Macaca fascicularis: one gene and its partners. The protein of the gene in region 1 interacts with the protein of each later gene in a biochemical or structural test. Links are inferred from orthologs where the notes say so. Each region holds a gene or a part of one and is shown in the gene's direction. Other genes may lie near its edges.

Region 1 (6,934 bases):
CCAGTTCCAGACTCCAGACTTACCAGTCTGGGTCTCAACCTCCCCTCCCTCCTCTCCACCCCCACCCCAGGCGCTCCGGGTTTCCTGCCCGACTGGGGCCTCCGTTTGGGGCGGGTGGAGGAGGGGTGGCATTTCCTGGCTGGGTCCCGGCCTGTCACTCTCTCGTGGACGCTCGGACATCTCGCTGACCGAAAGGCACCAGATGCTATTTTGGGCAGAGCCCCGCTTAGCGCGCAGTTTCCTTTTTTCCACTGACCATCGGAAACAGGGGAGGGGGCGGGTGTAGACGTCATGAGCCCCCAGCCCCTGGCAGGGGTTTGGGGGATGAGGTTGGGAGTGGCTGCCTGACTGTCAGAATCTGGAGCTTGGCAGAGAACAAATGAGTGGAATTGGGGAGTTAGTGAACGTCACTTCCTTGCCCCACAGACAGAGGCCTGGGCACACCCTCTGCCATAGGGCTGACAAATGCCTTTCCACCTGTCCATATTCCTTCACTACAGGAAAGGACACCTTCCTTGGAGGTGCTGGCTGGGGACATTTAATGCACTGTAAAATAATCCAACAGTCTGCAGGTACCTCAAAGGCATCTAAACTTAAGGAGTTCAAAACCAAATGTATAAGCCCTCCCCTCATCCCTTTGGCCTCCACGTTCCCCATCTCCAGGAATAACCACCACTAGCTCTGCAGGAGAGCCAGAAACCCAGGGGCTTTCCCAGATTCCTTCCTCTCCCTCATCCCCCCCAAACCCAATTCTTTTTTGTTTGTTTGTTTGTTTGAGATGGAGTCTCGCTCTGTCGCCAGGCTGGAGTGCAGTGGCATGATCTCGGCTCACTGCAACCTCTGCCTCCCGGGTTCAAGTGATTCTCCTGCCTCAGCCTCCTGAGTAGCTGAGACTGCAGGCATGCGCCACCACACCCAGCTAATATTTGTATTTTTAGTGGAGACAGGGTTTCACCATGTTGGCTGGGATGGTCTCGATCTCTTGACCTTGTGACCCGCCTGCCTGGGCCTCCCAAAGTGCTGGGATTACAGGCGTGAGCCACCATGCCTGGCCCAAATTCAATTCTTATAAACCCAGTTTTATACCCCAAATACATGTCATCTTCACTTGCCTCTTGTTATCTCTTCTGCCAACACAGTGGTCCAAGCTCTAATCCCCTTCCCCTAACCACTGCACTGGCTCCAGAACTGGCCTCCCAAAGTCTTTCCCCCTCCACACTTCAGCCAAAGAACTTTCTAGAAATGCAAATCTTATTCTATACAGGGTACCACCCCCACCTTCAAACCAAACGAACAAAAAAATGCCAAAAAATCCTGTAACTTGTCCACAAGCATGCTCCAGCCATACTGGACACTTTTCTATTTCTTTTCATGAACCTACCGCCCTTCTGTTCTAGCCCTTGGTCCAGCTGTTTCCTCAGCCCACCTGGAAGGTTCTGGATACTCACCCTTCTTCGCACCCCCAAATTTCACTCTTCGATCGCAGTCCAGGCCTCATTTTCTCAGAGAAGCAGTCCCCACCTGGGCTCTTCTAGATGGGAATGGCTAGCCTGTTTTCACAGTGGCTCAGAGACATGAAATCACTTGTCCAAGGGTCCCACAGCCCCGGAATGGCAGAGTTGTGTTTCAGACTCAGAATTATATGACTCTCATTTTCTATTAAGTGGTGGAGCCAAGCAAAAGCAAAGGCCTTATGGCAGGGAGGAACTAGAGTTTTTCTTAGGACGTGGGATTCTGTGAGAGTTATCTGTATCCCCATGACAGCCTGACCCTTCAGAGAGCACAGGAGGAACAGAGGGGACAGGCGGCACTGATTTAACTGTATCTTCTCAGGGAACATCCTGATGACCAAGAAGAAGTTAGATCCCAGACTGGGGCCATGCTCTCAGCTCAATCTTTGACTGGGACTCAGTTTGTTACCAGAGAAGGGGCTTTTCCCCAGTTCTCAGGCTCCAAAAAAAGCTCAAAAGCAGAGATACTAGAAGGACAAATCAGCCTGGCATGGAGGGTAGAGTTGTGGACTGGGAATTGGACACCAAAGTTTGGGTGCTGGCTTTTCCTTTGGGTTACTGTAAGTTTTGGCTAAGTCACATCTCTCTGTGTCTTAATTTCTTTCTCTATGATGGTAACCAGAACTCCCATGCAAGTGCATATGCTGTTTTCCTGGGCTACGGACTTTCCGTACATTATTACCCTCACCACCACCTTTTAAAGGTCATATAAGTTAGTTCTCACAATTTTGTGACGTCGACATTATCTCCCCATTTTACAAATGAGAAAACTGAGGTTCAGAGATCAGTGGCTAAAATTCGAACATGTGTTCTTTCCACTCCACCATGAAAGAATGAACCCAGAGACCCTCCGTGGGCTGAGCGCATCATCCAGCTGGCACTGAACTCAGATTCCTACCCCACAGTAAAGACCTTGGTCCCCGCAATGAGTTGATCCCAGGTCCCTGTCCCTGGCTAGGTTTTGACTGCCCCTTTTCATCAACTGAGTTGCAGAGAAGACTCCGTGCCAAATTTTCTTCTAAGGCAGACTCCATCAAGCACTAGCTATGTATCATTCGAAAAGTTACTTGACTTTATGTGCCTCAGTTTTCTCTTCTGTAAATTGAGGATCCAACTTCTCTGGATTGTTTATGAAGAGCAGATTAGTTAGTATTTGTAAAATGCCTAGAATAGTGTTTCAGTCGCTAGACTAAACTTTTTTTTTTTTTTTTTGAGACGGAGTCTCGCTCTGTTGCCCAGGCTAGAGTGCAGTGGCGGGATCTCAGCTCACTACAAGCTCCGCCTCCCGGGTTTATGCCATTCTCCTGCCTCAGCCTCCCAAGCAGCTGGGACTACAGGCTCCCGCCACCTCGCCCGGCTAGTTTTTTTTTTTGTATTTTTTAGTAGAGACGGGGTTTCACCGTGTTAGCCAGGATGGTCTCGATCTCTTGACCTCGTGATCCGCCCGTCTCGGCCTCCCAAAGTGCTGGGATTACAGGCTTGAGCCACCGCGCCCGGCCGACTTTTTTTTTTTTTTTTTTTTTTTTAACACCATGTGGGGAGCAGTGTTCCTGGGCTCTGGGCTCAGCCTGAAACCTAGCAGAATGGGCATTTTAATATCCCTGTTGACAGGAGTTCTGCCAGGCCGCCGTAGAGCCCATGAATTTGAGTTACCGGCTCTATTTTAGAAGGGGGTGAAGAGGTAGGGAAGGGCTGGGGAGTTTTCTGGGATAGGGAGGCTGCCCATTGAAATCTGGGTGTCTGGGACACTGGAGGAAGAATAAGAAAGAAGCGCTGGGAGGTGACGATTTTGATATCATGGTGGTCTTCAGAGGTAGGGACAGAGTGTTGGGGTGAGAGTCGCTTAAGAAAGGTGTCTGGAAGGTCAAGGGACTGAGGTTGTGGGGAGCTGGGGTTCCTGAGAGGTCTTGGGATCCGAGATGGGGGCTGGATCTGCTGGGTCCTAGACAGCGCGTCCAAATTAAAATGAATCATTTGGCCCATAATGGCCGAGGCGCTTATCGGGGGCGGGCGGACCCGCGGCACTGCCTTATCTCCGCAGCGCACACGGCCCCGGCGCGCCTCGGCCCATGCTAACGAGGCCTGGAACGTGAGTGGGATTAGAGCGCGTCGGTGGAGGGGCCGGGCGGGCGCGGCGCGGGCGGGGGAGCGGGGGCCGCGGGAGGGGCCGGGCCGCCGCCGCTCAGGACCGGGCCTCAAAATGGCCACACACCTACCCCCGTAGCGGAAAGACGTGAGCATTCTGGCCTTTTTCTAGGGGAAAAGCAACCCGAGGCCTCCCACCGAATTCCTCATCAATTTCCTCCTCTTTTTCCCCACGTCCGCAAAAGAGGTCTTCGCTCCCTTTCCCTCGGTTCCTTTCGATGGGGGGGGGGGGGGCATTTTCCACGGACGCCACCGCCCGGGCTGCCGCCGCCCCTCCCGCCTCGGAGACTCTCTTCCTTCCTTCCCCCTTTTCCTTACGCAATATACAGAAATGCGCGAGGCGGTGGTTGGTTTTCATTTCTTCTTCGTGGTTGTGTGCATGCGGTGGGATTGTGAGAGTGCGTTCATGAGAGCTGTGGGCGGCGTTGGCTGCTTCTGAGTGTGGTCTTCTTGGCGACAGGCTGTGTGTCCCAGTGTGGTGTGCCTGCGCGGTTGGGGTGTGTAGATGTGGACCCTTTGAGGCCCTTCTGCGTTTTCTTCGTTGCGTACGATTGTGCTCCGTTGGCGTTCTCAGCAGGGATCTGGTTCTGCGGGGGGGGGTGTGTGGCCTCTGCGACTGTGTTTGGGTGGTGTCTTCGTTATGTCGGGCGAGTGTGATTCCGACTGTGTTGGATTGTGTGTCCGTGAGCCGATACGTTTAACCGATTTCGTTGTGTCCTGTTGGGCAGTGTGCGGGGCTGACCAAGTCGGCTTCTGGAGCAGTGCTGAGTGGTGCTTGTTTGTTGCCCTTCTGTGGGGCTGGACCCTGTGTGGTCCTGTCCGCACTGACTTGTGTGCCTGTGTGCCTGTGTCCTTTAGAGGTGCGTTTGCAAATCGCTGGGGGCGGGAGTGGGGGGAGGGCGAGCGAGAGATCGAGGCGCTGGTGGGGGCGGCGGCATGGGGGCGGGGAGCGGGATTTCACATTTTATTCCAAATTATGATGTATTCGGGAGCCAGTTGTTGGCTTGGATGGGCGGACAGAGCCGGGCCGGCGGCTGCTCTGCCCAGAGGCCCGCCTGTGCCTCGGTGTTTGAGGGGTTCGTTGGTGAATGGGAGGATCCTCCAGGCTTGAAGCTGAGCAGCGCTCACCGAGGCCGGCGCCTTCGAGCCGGTCGCTGCGGGCTTCGGTTCCCGCTGCACTCCGGCTTCGTCCATTTCTGGTCAGTTTCGTGGGTGCGGCCGCCGGGGTCCGAGGGAGAGGCCCCGAAAGGACAATGGGCATATTAACCAGGCCTCGCGCCTCGGGTGGGGACATTCGGGATCACCTCCAGGGAAGATTTTCCCGCCCCCTCTTCGGGTGAGCGACGTTGCCGCTTGGGTCTGGTACCCGTGGCATCCGAGACCGAGGCCGAATCCGGGCTCTTGAGGGGACCGGGTTAGTGGGGCCCTAGCTCGGGTTGAAAGGATTTTGTTTAGTCAGTTATTATAATTGCCAATGCCATCGCCATCACAATCGTCATCATTAACATCCTATTTTAATTAAAATAATCATCGTAGAGCGCAGCAGTTTGTCCCTTTTGGCTCCTTTGGCGGGAGAACAAAGCAGCGGATTTTTTCCCCGCTACTGCCGTTTTCTAAGTTGCTGGGTTTGAGGTAGGAAGAGAAAATGGAGAGAGGCACGGACACAGAGACTTGGTCATAAGGCAAACATTAACCCCCAGCGAACACGCAAACATTAACCCCCCGATAACACGCCGGGAATGGATGGATTCCCCTCTGCTTTCCTCCCCTCCCCTCTTTTGGATTAGAAGCGGAGAAAGAAAATCTTCCGCATTGTATTGCAATCCAGGGAAGAATTATTCCTATATTTCCACCAAAGCCGCGGCAAACAGAAGGAGTGCTTCGCAGTTAATCCAAGACTTCGATGTGTGATCATAAGCCTGACGATTTAGGCAAAACAAATTAAACAAAATCCACCAGGAAAAAATAAAAGCAAGCTAAATCCTGCTACATCCTTGAAAGTAGTATCGGGTTTGTTTTTGCGTTCCTTTCCTTTCACCTTGTTTATTGCTGTAAGACATCATTAGAATTCTCCCTTACTCTGTCTAAACCCTGAAAAATCGAAAATCGTTTTGTAGGGGTGGTGGAGGGGAAGATGGGGGACTTTTCCCCTTTCTTCTTTCCCTCTTTGTTGGTCTTTATTTCCTTTTCTTTTTCTGTCTCTCTCTTCCTCTCTCTTTCTTTTTTCTTTCTCTCAGTCAGTAGGCGGACGAGAAAGGACCTGAACATATCAGATATCTCTCCCCAAACCCCCTTCCCAACTCCATTTCTGTAGGAAAGTACAACCCCTGGAATTGGGTTCTGGTTTCGCTTTGGGCTGGAGGTGGGTGGATGCGCATCAGGGAGAGAATGAGGTGGGGTGGACTCCAAGGTTCTGTCCCACCGACCAGAGTCTGAGGACTATTCGCCTTTCCCAACACAGACCTCTGCCCATCCAGGCCCGGGACTACCCCTTCCCGGTGTAGCGGCAGTCGGAGATCTGGCTGCGGAGGCAACCGGGTAGACACCTCCCTGCTTAGAAAACAAACACTGAACCAGACCGATCCCAGTTGGAGGGTTCGAAAATGTTCCAGACAGCCTGTCGGGAGGGGTTGCTGTTGTTGTTGTTGGACTAAATAGCTATTCCGGATTGGTCGTGTATAGGGTTTTTTAAGGCGGGTGGGGGGAGGAGGGGGTAGAGGGAAGGCTCCAAACACCTGCAGGTTGGGGGCGGAAAGCTGTTTGCGATTCCCTGGACTGGTTGGTCGGGGACAGGAGGTAATTCCCAGCTATTGACCCCCATTTCTCTCTCTCCCTCCCTCTTGCCCTGCCTCTTTCTCTCCACCCCTATCTTTCCTGGAAACTCGCTTTGGGCGCGGCAGATCGCCCAGGACTACACCGCAGCGTAACTGCAGGCCTCTCAGCGCAAAAGGGGGAAAGCAAAGACCCGGGTCTGCATCCTCTACCTCGGCTTCCGCCCCTCTCCGGCGGAGTGGAGATCCTATTCAGAGGGGCCGGTCTCTCTAAATATGCCCCAGGTGAGTTTTCAGGGGAATGGTGCCGGTGGAAACAGTGTCCAGGAAGGCCTCGGGTTCCGGCCTGGGGTGAGGAAGGCTCAGGACAGAGGAGAGCCCAGTCTCAGATTGGGGGTGGGGGGAGGGGAGGACCAGCCAGAGCTTGGAATCAGGATCTGATTGCTGCTAGCTGCTTCTGTGGCCTCCAGCGGCTCTTTCCCTTTTCCGCCCTGGGTAAAACCAGTT
Region 2 (6,834 bases), on another chromosome or scaffold:
CAGTGGCCGGATCTCAGCTCAATGCAAGCTCCGCCTCCCGGGTTTACGCCATTCTCCTGCCTCAGCCTCCCGAGTAGCTGGGACTACAGGTGCCCGCCACCTCGCCTGGCTAGTTTTCGGAGTTTCTTTCTTGTTGCCCAGGCTGGAGTGCAGTGGCGATCTTGGCTCACTGCAACCCCTGCCTTCCGGGTTTAAGCAATTCTCCTGCCTCATCTTCCCAAGTAGCTGGGATTACAGGCATGTGCCACCACGCCCAGCTGTTTTTGTTTTTTTAGTAGAGATGGAGTTTCTCCATGTTGGTTTGGCTGGTCCTGAACTCCTGACCTCAGGTGATCCACCTCAGCCTCCCAAAGTGCTGTGATTACAGGTGTGAGCCAGCGCACCTGACCCCAGTGATAGTTTCTTTCTTTTTTTTTTTTTTTTTTTTTTTTTTAATTTGAGATGGAGTCTCGCTCTGTCGCCCGGACTGGAGTGCAGTGGCGCTTTCTTGGCTCACTGCAAATTCCGCCTCCCAGGTTCACGCCATTCTCCTGCCTCAGCCTCCCGAGTAGCTGGGACTGCAGGCACCTGCCACCATGCTCGGCTAATTTTTTGTATTTTTAGTAGAGACGGGGTTTCACCATGTTAGCCAGGATGGTCTCAATCTCCTGACCTCGTGATCTGCCTGTCTCGGCCTCCCAAAGTGCTGGGATTACAGGCGTGAGCCACCGTGCCCAGCCAATAGTTTCTTAAAGGTTAGTAGCAATATCAATTTATATATCAGTGGGCTTTTCATACAGTTGTCAAAATCCATCATGTGTCTCTCACATGTGTTACCAAATTCCAATATCAATTTATCCATCACTGAGCTCTCACATTCATTCATGTGTATCATGAAGGAATCTTTTTTTCCTCTATGATTTTGTAACTATGCAATTGGCTATTTGGAAACATTAGCTCACTAAGTTGTACAGACCTACTAAATGTTGATATATTTTACAGTGTCTCCAAAAAAAATCACATTGATTAATATCACTATCACTAGGTCATCAAACACATCTTTAAGTATTGGGAAGCTGTCAAGCTCAGGGTGGCTAATACCAGTTCACCACAATTCATAGTTTTACTTGAAAATTCTAATCTTATTATTGGCAACATTATTTTCCTTGAAGTGATAGGCTCCCTTGTTCATTTTTGAGAAAACATCTGCCAAATACTTGGCTGAGATTGACTATATTTAGTCAGTTGTTCTTTCAGGTAAAAATGGTGATCCACTTACAACTCAAGCAATTGCTCAAGTACTTTTCTTTAATAATACCATTGTACTGGCCGGGCGCAGTGGCTCAAGCCTGTAATCCCAGCACTTTGGGAGGCCGAGACGGGTGGATCACAAGGTCAGGAGATCGAGACCATCCTGGCTAACCCGGTGAAACCCCGTCTCTACTAAAAAATACAAAAACACTAGCCGGGCGAGGTGGCGGGCGCCTGTAATCCCAGCTGCTCGGGAGGCTGAGGCAGGAGAATGGCATAAACCCGGGAGGCGGAGCTTGCAGTGAACTGAGATCCGACCACTGCACTCCAGCCTGGGCGACAGAGCGAGACTCCGTCTCAAAAAAAAAAATACCGTTGTACGTTAGCACACAAAAGTGCTTTATATGTAGTTCCCATTTTATCACACAGCATGTTAAAAATATGTAAACTGAGGGGTTGGGATTTAATAAAAAATGTTACTCCTTCATCAGAAACATTGGTTTTTTTTTTGAGGCAGAGTCTCACTGTTGCCCAAGCTAGAGTGTGGTGGCATGATATTGGCTTACTGCAACCTCCACCAGCCAGGTTCAAGTGATTCTCCTGAGTCACCCTCTCAAGTAGCTGGGATTACAGGTGCACGCTACCATGCCTGGCTAATTTTTGTGCTTTTATTAGAGATGGGGTTTCCCCCAATTGGCCAGACTGGTCTCAAACTCCTGACCTCAAGTGGTCTGCCTGCCTCAGCCTCCCAGAGTGCTGGGATTATAAGTGTGAGCCACTGTGACTGGCCCATCAGAAACCTTCTTAAGTGAAACTGGCTTTTTTTCACTTAATGTCATTGTGCAGTCAGTGTGAAGTTCAAAGACTTGAATTGCAATTGCATGAGGTTACAAAATCGTGGAAGTAAAAGGATTCATTCATGGTACAAAATAAACCAATAGAGTTTGACAACTGTATGAAAAGCTCAGTGATGTATATAGATTGATATTGGAATTTGGTAACAATTTGTTCGATATTGCAAATACAATTTGGCGCCACCACCATTTTTATTCACCATTACGTTTATGGTGCCAGTGCAGATGTCAACACAGCAAAAAAGGGAAATAATATTTTAGTATTATTATGAAAATAGTTTTGATCTCACAGATCTCCTAAAAGGGTCTTGGGACCCTTTGGACAAAGAACTGCTGTCTACAGAAATACATGTATACAAAGATACTCACTAGAGCAATATTTTGGGGTTTTTTTTTTTTTTTTTTTTTTGAGACAGTATCTGACTCTGTCTCCCAGGCTATAGTACAGTGGTGGGATCTTGGCTCACTGCAACCTCCACCTTCTGGGCTCAAGCGATCTTCCCACCTTAACCTCTCAAGTTGCTGAGACTCTAGGCACACATCACCACACCTGCCTAATTTTTTTATTTTTTGTAGAGAAGGGGTTTTTGCCATGTCGCCCAGGCTAGTCTCAAACTCCTGAGCTCAAGCAATCCACCTGCCTCCCAACGTGCTGGGATTATAGGCATGAGCCACAACGGCCAACCTGAAGCAGTGTTTTTAATAGCAAGTTATGAGAAACAGTATAATTGTCTAGCTGATAACCTTTCTTCACTGGATGTTGAGGAGATTTAGCAAGCCTCCCACCCCTCAGGGCATCCATTCATGTGAATTATCTTCTTTCTTGTCTATGTAGAGTGGCACTAGTTTATATCATCTGGGGGAATTTTTAAAAATAGGCATTCAAATAATTTTTTGTTATGTGGTTCAGATGAGGAACCTCAGTTGAAATAAACTGTTAAGGAATGGTAAATTGGGGTACATTTTTCTGCAGCAGTTAAAGAGAATAAGACAAATCTGTCATGAAATGAAAAAATACTCATGACAGTAAGTGAAAAGTTGAGGACAGAATATATAGTATGATCCTATTTTGTCTTAGAAACAAATCCCAAAGCAGAATTATAGCTGGTAATTACATGTGTAAATTTACAGACGGAGGCCCAGAAGTTTCTCATTAAAACTCTTAACTGGCTGCATCTGCTAAGGCAAGTAGGGGATGGGTGAAGATTTCTACTTTTTATTCTGTGTACCTTTGCAGTTGAAATTTTTTTTGCAGTGAAACAACGGAACATTTTTGTATGTATTTAACAAATTGGGATGAGTACTATGTAAGCATATAATAAAGAAAACTCACTTGGGGGAAGTCACGGGAATCTGTGTCTGGATGAGCTCTCATCTTTCAGGGCTTTTCTGCCATAGGAATCTACGGCGGATCCGGAAATGTCAGCGTGGTCGAGAGCAGCAGGAAAAGGAAGGGAAGGAAGGAAACAGTAAGAAGACCATGGAGAATGTGGATAGTCTGGATAAGCTGGAGTGTAGATTCAAGCTGAATTCCTACAAGATGGTGTATGTGATCAAATCAGAGGACTATATGTATCGGAGGACTGCCCTGCTCCGGGCTCATCAGGTGAGAACCAGTAACTAATTTCTGTACACATCTGCCACCCTAGCTAGGAGCAGGGGAGGCCCAGAGTCTTCTGATTGTTTCTCTTTGTTTATGCAAACCTGTTCTTGGAGCTGAGACTTAGCTGAGGAAGTAGGTATGTTGGTTTGCTAAGGATGCTGTGACAGAGTACCACAGAGTGTGGCTTAAACGACAAAAGTTCTGGAGACTAGAAGTCCAAAGTCAGGTGTCAGCAGTGTTGGTTCCTTTTGAGGACTGTGAGGGACAATCTGTTCTAGGCCTCTCTTAGCTTCTGGTTCTTTGCTGGCAATCTTTGGCATTCCTGGGCTTGTAGATCCCTGCCTTTATCTTCATATGGTGTTTCTACCTGTGTGTATGTCTGCCTCCAGATAAGGTCACATTTGGAAGTACTGTGGGCCAGGACTTCAATATTTGATTTTTTGTTTGTTTGAGACAGTCTTGCCTGACACAGCCTCCCAAAGTGCTAGCTTTACAGGCACGAGCCACCACACCCAGCCAACATAAGAATTTTAGGGAGAACACACTTCAGCCCGTAAGAGCATATAAATACCTGGTGGCACCTTTTTAGTGAATTTACTCCCAGTATTTACATCTCAAGTAGTATCTGATCGTTTGCTTGTATGAATTCTACCTGTTTTTACATTCTATCTCAATTGTGAAACCTTCCTGCTGCAGCTGTGTACAGGGTGTTATGCCAGGCCCTGGGACTACAGCCATGAAGTTGATCAGATGAAGTAATGTGATGATATGCACTACCAGGGAAACAAATCAGGTGCAGTGATCAAGGGTAACTAGCATACAGGCCCTGCTTTCACTGGAGGAGGCTTCTCAAAGGAGGTGATGCTTGAGGCCTGAATAATGACAAGGAATTAGCCTGGTGAAGAGTAGAGGATGGGTGTTTTCTAGACAAAACAGCAAGTACAAGGCTGGGAGGAAAGAACATGGCATATTCAAGAAACTACAGACACCGTTGTGGCTCAAGGTTGCATGAAGTTAGAAGGGTAGGCAGAGGCCACATTACTTTGTCTAATAGGCCATGGTTTGGAGTTTGTTTGAGATGCATTGGGACATTTGACAAAGATAGCTTGGAGTGCTATGAGGAGAGTGGAGATGGGTATGTATAAAGTTGGAAGAGCAGAGACCACTCAAGGGTGCCCTTGTCCAAATGAGATTTGGGGACCACCCAGACTACTAGGGTGGCAGTGGAATTGCAAGAATTACATTGTAGATTTTATGTGTTTATTTATTTTTGAGACAGAGTTTCACTCTTGTCGCCCAAGCTGGAGTGCAGTGACCCAATCTCGGCTCACTGCAACCTCTGCCTCCTGGGTTCAAGCGATTCTCCTGTCTCAGCCTACTGAGCAGCTGAGATTACAGGCACGCGCCACCACGCCTGGCTGATTTTTTGTATTTTTAGTAGAGATGGGGTTTCACCATGTTGGCCAGGCTGGTCTCGAACCCCTGACCTCAAGTGACCCACCCACCTCAGCCTCCCAAAGTACTGGGACTACAGGCTACCACGCCTGGATGTAGATATAATTTAGATATTTAATTGACAAGAGATGGTATTGGATCAAATGTGGGGGTAAGCAAAAGGAGGACATCAAGGATGGTGCCTAATTCGTTTTGGGGTTTTTTGGTTTGTTTTGCTTAAGTGGATATTTTAGGGGCTCACCTGTTAATAGAAAAGGGTTATGAGGTTTAGGAGACAGACGAAGTGCGTTTTAAGTTTGAAAGGACTACAAAACTTTCAAGTGGGAGATGTTGAGCACACAGTTTAATGTATGATTATCCCTCGAATGACACGGGGTTTGGGGCACTGGCCCCTGCACAGTCAAATCTATGTATAATTTTTGACTCCCCCGGAATGGAACTACTGATAGTCTACTGTTGACTGGAAGGCTTACTGATAAACAGTTGATAGACATACTTTGTATGTTGTATGTATTATATATACTGCATTCCTTTTTTCTTGTTTTTTTTTTTTTTTTTTTTTTTAATGGAAATAGACACGGGGTCTCCTTACATTGCCCAGGGCTGGTCTTCAGGGGTTCAAACAACCCATCTGTTTCAGCCTCCTAAAGTGCTGGGATTACAGGTGTGAGCCACTATGCCCAGCCTATACTGTATATTCTTAAAATAAAGGAAGTTAGAGAAAAGAAAATGTTAAGTCATATGCAAGAGAAAATATATTTACTCTTCATTAAGTGGATGTGGCTCATCATAAAGGGTCCTCATTCTCATCTTGTTGAGTAGGCTGAAGAGGGAGGAGGAAGGGGAGGGGTTGGTTTTGCTGTCTCGGGGTTGGCAGAGGTGGAAGAAAACTTGCCTATCAGTGGCCCTGTGCCATTCAAAGCCGTGTTATTCAAGAGTCTGCTGTACTTCTCTCACGGCGTGGAGGGAAGCGCAGTGGCATGATCTCAGCTCACTGCATCCTCTGTCTCCCGGGTTCAAGAGATTCTCTTGCCTCAGCCTTTCGAGTAGCTGGGATTACAGGTGTGCACCACCACGCCTGACAAATTTTTTTTGCTATGTGTGTGTGTCTGCCTGTCTCTGATTCACATTATTTGGGACACTGGGCAACAGCAGTTTTGTTTTTGTATCTCTTCTAGTATCCTTGCATGTGGTCACCAATAAATTTTTACTGGGTGTGTTGGTGGGAACAGAACCCCCTGCAGAAGATCTGGCAAGCCTGGACTCTGCTTGCCAGGGTGGGGTAACACAATGGAGGGAGAGTGGGTTTTAAGCCCTTTGCTTTGCACTATCTGGCTTAGAAGTGGATCTCCATGCTGATAGAAGTGATCAGTGGCTCACTGGGTCCTACCCAGGATACATTAGAGCAGATTGGTAAAACCAAGGAAATGTGGGGTTTTGGGGTTTTTGTATGTTTGTTTTTGGAGACAGGGTTTGGCTCTGCCATCCAGGCTGGGGAGCGGTGGTACGATCTCAGCTCGCTGCAACCTCCACCTCCCAGCTCAAGCGGTCCTCCCACTTCAGCCTACCGAGTAGCTGGGACTACAGGATTGTATCACCATGCCCGATTAAGTTTTGTATTTTTGTAGAGATGGGGTTTTGTCATGTTGCCCAGGCTGGTCTCAAACTCCTGAGCTCAAGCGAACTGCCTGC
Region 3 (6,834 bases), on another chromosome or scaffold:
TGAACCTCGAAAGTTAATGCACCATTTTGTGTACAGGTGAATTCTTCTAGGGAGTAGAGTCTCGTAGTTTTTAGCATAGTCTCAAAAGCGTTTGGGGTCAGGGAACCAGAGCTCTAATGAGCATTGACCGCATCTGTTTTCTGAGCCTCGTACTGGTTTGGAATGTTTTTCTATCTCTCACCAATTCTTTAGTGTTAACATGGGTAGCAAGGGGTGTTTAAGATATCATTTTCCTGTCAACGCAAATGCCCTTTTAAGAGTCATTAGCTGTCTGGTTTTGAGAATTTTTATTCCTTTGAAGTCCCCCTCTAATCCTTTGAAGGGATTTGTTACACAAGACCAAAGGAGCTGGTTAATGACTTGTCCATTTGTGCTTTTAAGAGACATTTGTTTTGTTTTTTCTTTTCCTGGTTTAAAAGAATTGTGCTTTCCTGCTTGAAATACCGCACACACACACACATACACCCTTCAATTTCGGCTTTCTATGGTGTTTATTTACCTGGGTTTTACCCTCAGTTAGCAGCATAAAAGCTCAGCATGTTCTCATAAAACACAGGAAGTACCACCATCCAATGAGAATATAAACATCACTATTCCGTCTTGAAGGTTAAGACACCAGTTCTGTAATGAGCTAGGTTTGTTGTAGCAAAAACCCCCACTTCCTTCAACAAATTCTCAGGAGAAAAATAACATTTCTTTTTAAAAGTATGTTTATGTCAACAATGGGTTTAAAGGGTGGTTTGATCACTTTTTTAAAAATAAACTTAAAATTACAACTGAGCTTTGAGTTTCAGAGACTGGGCAAGATCATAGTAACACAATAAGGGAGTGAATTGGATGAATTGGTGCCTCATGCCTTTTTGATCAGCAGAATTTAGTCACTAATCCTTTCAATAGAAGGTAAATCTGAAGGTTTCATTTCCCTGAAGGAAGTTTGCGTCTTTCAAAGTTTGTGCTTTTTCACTGAGGTTAGAAAACTGAAACATCCTAACTTCCTAACACAGCAGGTATCTACTGCTGGAGGCTCACCAGCTCCTTCCTTCACTTCACTATTTGCCCAGCGAAGATAGTTTCTGATCAAAGAGGGACAAGCTAGTTGAGAAATTGCAGCAGCACATTCTCCACCCCCTTAGAAATTGTTATGATTATCCCAGAAATCCAGGCTGAAGTGATACTCAGGTGTAATATTCAAGATAAGGGTCTGGGAGAATATAAAATATTAATTTGAGGGTGAATCAACCTCATTCATTGTCTTGGATTGCCCACTAAGTATAATGTGATATTATCAATTAATTATAGAAAGACAGAGCCAATATCTTATACTTTACTTCTCCATCTCATCTCAGGCCATCACCATAACTCTTTTACTTTACGTTCCTCCTGTTGTCCAGTATCCTACTAGATGCTTCATTGTGTACTTCCTCAAAGCCGACTTGGGTCATTACAATCAGCATCTCCAAATTACAGATGGAGACTTGCCTAGCTATATGCAAATGAAACATTTGGACAGAAAGCCAGCCAGAATTCATGAACACAGAGATTCCCTTGCTATGCCACTGGTGGCCCCCACTGCCTCCCCTGTGAGTAACAAGAGCAGTTCATTTGAATTCCAGGCAGTTTTGCACCAGCTAAGGGCAAATTATCCTCTTTCACAGTCCTTTGGCAGCATCTGCATCGGGACATCCAATGTCTGTCGAGGTCCCATGAGTGGTTTTGAAAGCCCAGAGTAAGACCATGGGCTGTGGAAAGAGAAGAGATGCAATTCCGAGTTGATACACATAAAAACGCTAGGGTATTACTTATTAGAAGGGAAAATGGCAGTCCTTATATACAATCTGTAGAAACAAAGGAAAGAAAGCAAGGCTTCAGTGAATGAAACCCTGTCTCTACTAAAAATACAAAAAATTAGCTGGGCCTGGTGGCGGATGCCTGTAATCCCAGCTACTTGGGAGGCTGAGGCAGGAGAATGGCGCGAACCCAGGAGGTGGAGCTTGCAGTGAGCCGAGATCGTGCCACTGCACTCCAGCCTGGGCTACAAATTTGTAGCAAGACTCTGTCTCAAAAAAAAAAAAAAAAAAAAGAAACTATAGTTTTGATTTTTTTGAGCTAGGGTCTCACTGTGTTGTCTAGGCTAGAGTGCAGTGCTCACTGCAGCCTCAACTTCCTGTACTGAGGTGATCCTCCCACCTCAGCCTCCTGGGTAGCTGGGACTACAGGCTCATGCCACCAAGCCTGGGCAATTTTTTATATTTTTTGTAGAGACAGGATTTTGCCATGTTGCCCGGGCTGGCCTCAAACTCCTGGGCTCAAGTGATCCTCCTGCCTTGGCCTCCCAAAGTGCTGGGATTACAAACGTGAGCCACTGTGCCTGGCCATTTTTTTTTTTTCCCAGATAAACTAACTTGAACTTCACATTTTCTTGTTCCAAAGATGATAATCTCATGAAGTGCTATTACACTGTATCTAGAAAGTGTGGGCATGGCTTTAACACTCCTAAATATTCACAAGAAAGGCTTCATTCTTCACATGACAGAATCCTCTGAAGTTGTCAAGAGTGTTATAGACATTGAGCCACCTAGCCTCCTGTCCCCAAGTATAATGACTGCTGGGCTTTGTGGGCTCAGACCAATTAGGACACAAGGTCACCTGGTAAGTTAATACTAGTTAGAAATAGGAGACGTGGATTTATACCTGCAGGGCACCCAGGAGGAAACTCCCTTTGGGAATTTTACAGTTGGAAGAAGGTCTGGTTTTTGAAACATAATAGATTTTTAAGAAATAGATTTGTGTTTAAGGTTCCAGAGAACACTTGCTAATTATTACAAATCAACAAGTATTAAGTGTTTCCTGTGTCCCATTTGGGGGACACTAGAATAATTCCTTCCACTCGTTTATTTTCTTTTAGCAAAATTATTTATTTTTAAAAGTTAAAAAAGTACTCAGATTCCAGTGAAGCAAAGTGAACAAGAGATACTATGCATGGCACATTAATGAAAGAACGCGTGTCACAGCCTATTAACAATTGCTGGATTGAGATGTCAATGACTGTTTAATTGCCTTCCACTCTCTTTGAAATAATCATTGCCCCCACTTCATTTTCTTCCTCAAATCAACTTTATCCGAATCAGCTTTACTGTTATAAAAATGTTCAGGTAAGGAAAGAAAGGCCTATTTGATGTTCTTCATAAGTGTAACAATGGCCTTACAATATGGGATTTTCCTCCAAGTATTCCTTCAGTAGGAAGAATGGAAAATGGAATTTCTGTAAAAGAGTAAAACTAGGAGAATTCCTATTATATCCTGATGGAATTTTTATTTTGGAAAGAGAAAGCAGCCTAAAATAATTTTTGGTCTCATTCTTCTTTCTTCCTCACCTCTGCTTTTGTGCGGGTGGGAAGGGCTGGAGGGAGGATGGCACTTTATTCAACAGGGGATTTGCAGATTCTTAGCTCTCTGGGTCGTCCGCTGCCCTGGTGGTGAGCGACTCTTTTAGTCCAGGGTGCCGCCTCTGAGGTTAGGCAGTGCCCCTGGGTTCAGGGTATAGGAGGAGGAAAATGAGGGAAATCTGTGAAGACAGAGAGGGATAGTCAGCGGGGAGAGAGGGAAAAAGCAGAAGGAGACCAGAGGTACCCAGGTAGTGCTGGGCATGGGCCAGGGGCACAGTGCCACCTGCAGTTGCCTTTGATGCCTCTTGGTGCCTTGTGTTGACTTCTTAGAGATCTAGGGAGTAAGGTCTGGCTCTCTCCCGTCTTAACCCAAGGTTGGTTGGGACTCTGCAATCTGGCCAAGGGATGTGTTGTCCTGTCCCTTCTCCCTTAGGTCACCAAAAGGCAGTCAGGTGAGGTACCCTGTCTGGCCCAAAATGATCTGGGACCCCCGGTGCTGGTCTCACCCTGGTGAGGCTGTCCCTGATGCTTGGCCTTCTCTCCAGGGAACCAGTGGATGAGGTGCTGCAGATCCCCCCGTCCCTGCTGACATGCGGCGGCTGCCAGCAGAATATCGGGGACCGCTACTTCCTGAAGGCCATCGACCAGTACTGGCACGAGGACTGCCTGAGCTGCGACCTCTGTGGCTGCCGGCTGGGCGAGGTGGGGCGGCGCCTCTACTACAAACTGGGCCGGAAGCTCTGCCGGAGAGACTATCTCAGGTACTCTCCGCGGCACTCCACTGGGGCCCTCGGAAGGGAGGCTGGGGGGTCCTTGGACATCTGCAGTCTGTGCATGTTGCCCCCGACCCTGTTCCAGGCTTAGACACCACCTATAGAAAGAGGTCAGGCTGCAGAAACTGAGTCTCAGCTCCCCTGCCGAGAAGCAGAGGGCATTTCTTCCTGTTTGAGAAGCATATTTTCAGGGTTACGTTCCTATGTGGTAAAATACTAATATCTTTAAAGGCAAGAGAATTGTAACCCCAAAATTCAGAGTTGTTCCCTTGGGGAGCGGGAGAAGCCAGGGGATGGGGTTGAGGAGGAGTACGCACGGAGGATCAGAGGAACTGGGAGTGTTTCTAACTTAGGAGGTGGGCTCTGAGGACCTCATTTGAATGCTTCAGAACACACACACACACACACACACACATATATATATATGTTATAAATATTCTTTTGTATGACTCCAGTATTATATGATGAGAAATTTAACAATAGAAAGCATGTGGAGCTCCAAGCATTGACTCATAGCAGGAAGGCAGTCTTTGAAGAACAGAAGGCAAAGGCCCTGCAGGCAGTTGGAGGTTCGAGTCCCAACACCGTTGCTTCCTAGTGGCCTTGGGAAAGTTACTTAACCTTCCTAAGACTCGATTTCCTCATCTGTAAAATGGGGATCATAATAGCACCTACCTCTAAGGATGTGGGGAGGATTTGATGGAATAATGCAGATAAACTACTTGACTCGGTATGGATCAAATAGATGTTAGCTGCTCTTATAACTTATCCTTATGACGTAATCATTATTTTCCAATCTAATGAGCAAAGGGATGGAAGAATGGAAGGGTAAAATAGGAACTCGACCACGCCAAGTAAGACAGGAGCTGAGGACATCTCCCATGCTTCCGTTGGCCATCCGAATTTTCCAGCACTCTGTGAATGCCTTTGCCTAGAATGTACTAGCGTTTCTAGTTTCCGAGGAGCTGCTGTGGAGGTAACTCTCTGTGCCCTCTACTGTCAGATCTGCTCAACTGTGTAGCTGTCAGGATTTCTCCGTCTTCCTGGAGCAGAGGGTCTGTGAGGCATGCTTCCCTGATGCACCCAGACCATCCAACCCATGGAAGCTTGTTGAGACCTCAGCGCCCTTGGCTGCTGGGCCAGCTTTTCCCCTCGAACCTGCCCTCGGAGCATTTGACGTTACAGAAACAAAACCAAACCGAAAAACTGCAGGCAGTTTCACAGTGAAGGAGGCTTTACCTAAAGACTGATGGAAGAAGCTTTTTGTCCTTCTTGAATTCCCAGATAAAGTCCTTGCAGTCCTTGCAGATATGGTGGTTCCGAGAAAATAAGTAGGGTTTTGCAATGATCATGCTTATAATTTTGGTCAGTTTTCCTTTTTTTAAGTCCCAAAAAATAGAACTGGGATAAATACAGACCTGGTTTTGCTCACTCCCACTTTGCCAAGTCAGTGAGAAGGCAGACGGGTAAATGAATCCCATCGGACCCTTGACTCCATCCCTGTCAAATCATTTGAATCTTATTAAATGAAGTGCAGATTGAGTAAGGTCAGAAGAGCCCCGGCTTCTCCCTATCTCTACCGTTTTATATGACATTCAGGAATAAAACCATTGCTGCCTGGGCTTGTTAATCCTTTCCATTTTCAAAAAGGAGAGGAAGGAAAAAAAAAAAAACAGTCTGGGAGAACCCAATGTTAATTAACTTGTGTCTTGGTGACATGAAATAATTCTTCTCCCTGCCACATTCCTAGGCAACATGTTAATTAACTCTGCGTTAGTGCAGGCATTTCCAGCCATCCTTTAACATTTATATTATTGTTATTAAAACGGGCAGCAGAGGGCTTAAGGTGGGACACCTCTTGACAGAGGAGAAAAATTGTCTTTTGCTTCAGGGATGGTCCTTTAGCCAAGATCTTGTTTACTTGCGTTCTTGGTATATCTGGCAGGATCTTTGAACAGGCAAGTTGGAAGAGTGACTGTAATGGGGTTGAATTCTAATTCACCCCTAGGATAACTCGTCCCCATGAGGATTTCCAGTGGCTGAGTTGCCTGTTACAGTTCTTTTCCGACATTTCGCTTCAAATATTCATGAGACCCCCATGCGGAACCTCAACTCTGCTGTGTTGTTGGGAACCTGGGAGCAACTGTTCATGTCTGTGCTGAGCCAGAGCTCCTTGGATCCCTTTTCACTAATTCTAGTGTGCTGGGAGTGGTGGGGTGGTGGTGATGGCAGTGGTTTTGCTTTTAACAGCCAGCACCTGAATCTGTTAGAGCCTGAAGTATGCCTGCCCCCGCTACACCCCCAACGGACCTTAACCAGTGACAGACATGGTAGGAGTACCAAGCCCTGCAGCCTTGCCTGAAGCCAGGCATGACTTATATTCCAGAGTCCCTCCCCTCTGAGGGACTTTGCCTGAGGTTACAACTTGGCTTGGCCTCCTCCCCTTCCCTCCAGCCTCCCCTGCTGCCTTCCAGGTTTTTCCTGAGAATGCATCATTCATAAATCACTGGCACATAAATCCTTGCCTCAGGGGCCACTTCTGGCATATCCAGCCTAGGATACCAATTCTTGGTGCCAGAGGTTAATGTTCAAGTAAGGTGTCAATTCCTGGCTTATTTTTTGCTAATATTAGAATCTCAGAATCCCAGAGCTGGAAAGGGCTACAAGGGCCTTCT

What was found.
Region 2: the proteins of TAL1 (region 1) and SIN3A form a complex in vitro, tested with the Homo sapiens proteins (2 studies listed by BioGRID). The link is inferred for Macaca fascicularis from reciprocal best matches to the Homo sapiens genes TAL1 and SIN3A.
Region 3: the proteins of TAL1 (region 1) and LMO2 form a complex in vitro, tested with the Homo sapiens proteins (2 studies listed by BioGRID). The link is inferred for Macaca fascicularis from reciprocal best matches to the Homo sapiens genes TAL1 and LMO2.

Annotation. Positions count from the first base shown.
Region 1 is NC_088375.1:187,565,870-187,572,803, forward strand, and holds the start of TAL1 (T-cell acute lymphocytic leukemia protein 1), read left to right. Parts: upstream 1-3,685; 5' UTR 3,686-3,744; intron 3,745-4,005; exon of another isoform or gene 4,006-5,666; intron 5,667-6,556; 5' UTR 6,557-6,712; intron 6,713-6,934. UniProt on the Homo sapiens protein: Implicated in the genesis of hemopoietic malignancies. It may play an important role in hemopoietic differentiation. Serves as a positive regulator of erythroid differentiation.
Region 2 is NC_088381.1:52,595,536-52,602,369, reverse strand, and holds part of SIN3A (paired amphipathic helix protein Sin3a), read left to right. Parts: intron 1-3,482; coding exon 3,483-3,690; intron 3,691-6,834. UniProt on the Homo sapiens protein: Acts as a transcriptional repressor. Corepressor for REST. Interacts with MXI1 to repress MYC responsive genes and antagonize MYC oncogenic activities. Also interacts with MXD1-MAX heterodimers to repress transcription by tethering SIN3A to DNA.
Region 3 is NC_088388.1:31,711,919-31,718,752, forward strand, and holds part of LMO2 (rhombotin-2), read left to right. Parts: intron 1-3,931; coding exon 3,932-4,147; intron 4,148-6,834. UniProt on the Homo sapiens protein: Acts with TAL1/SCL to regulate red blood cell development. Also acts with LDB1 to maintain erythroid precursors in an immature state.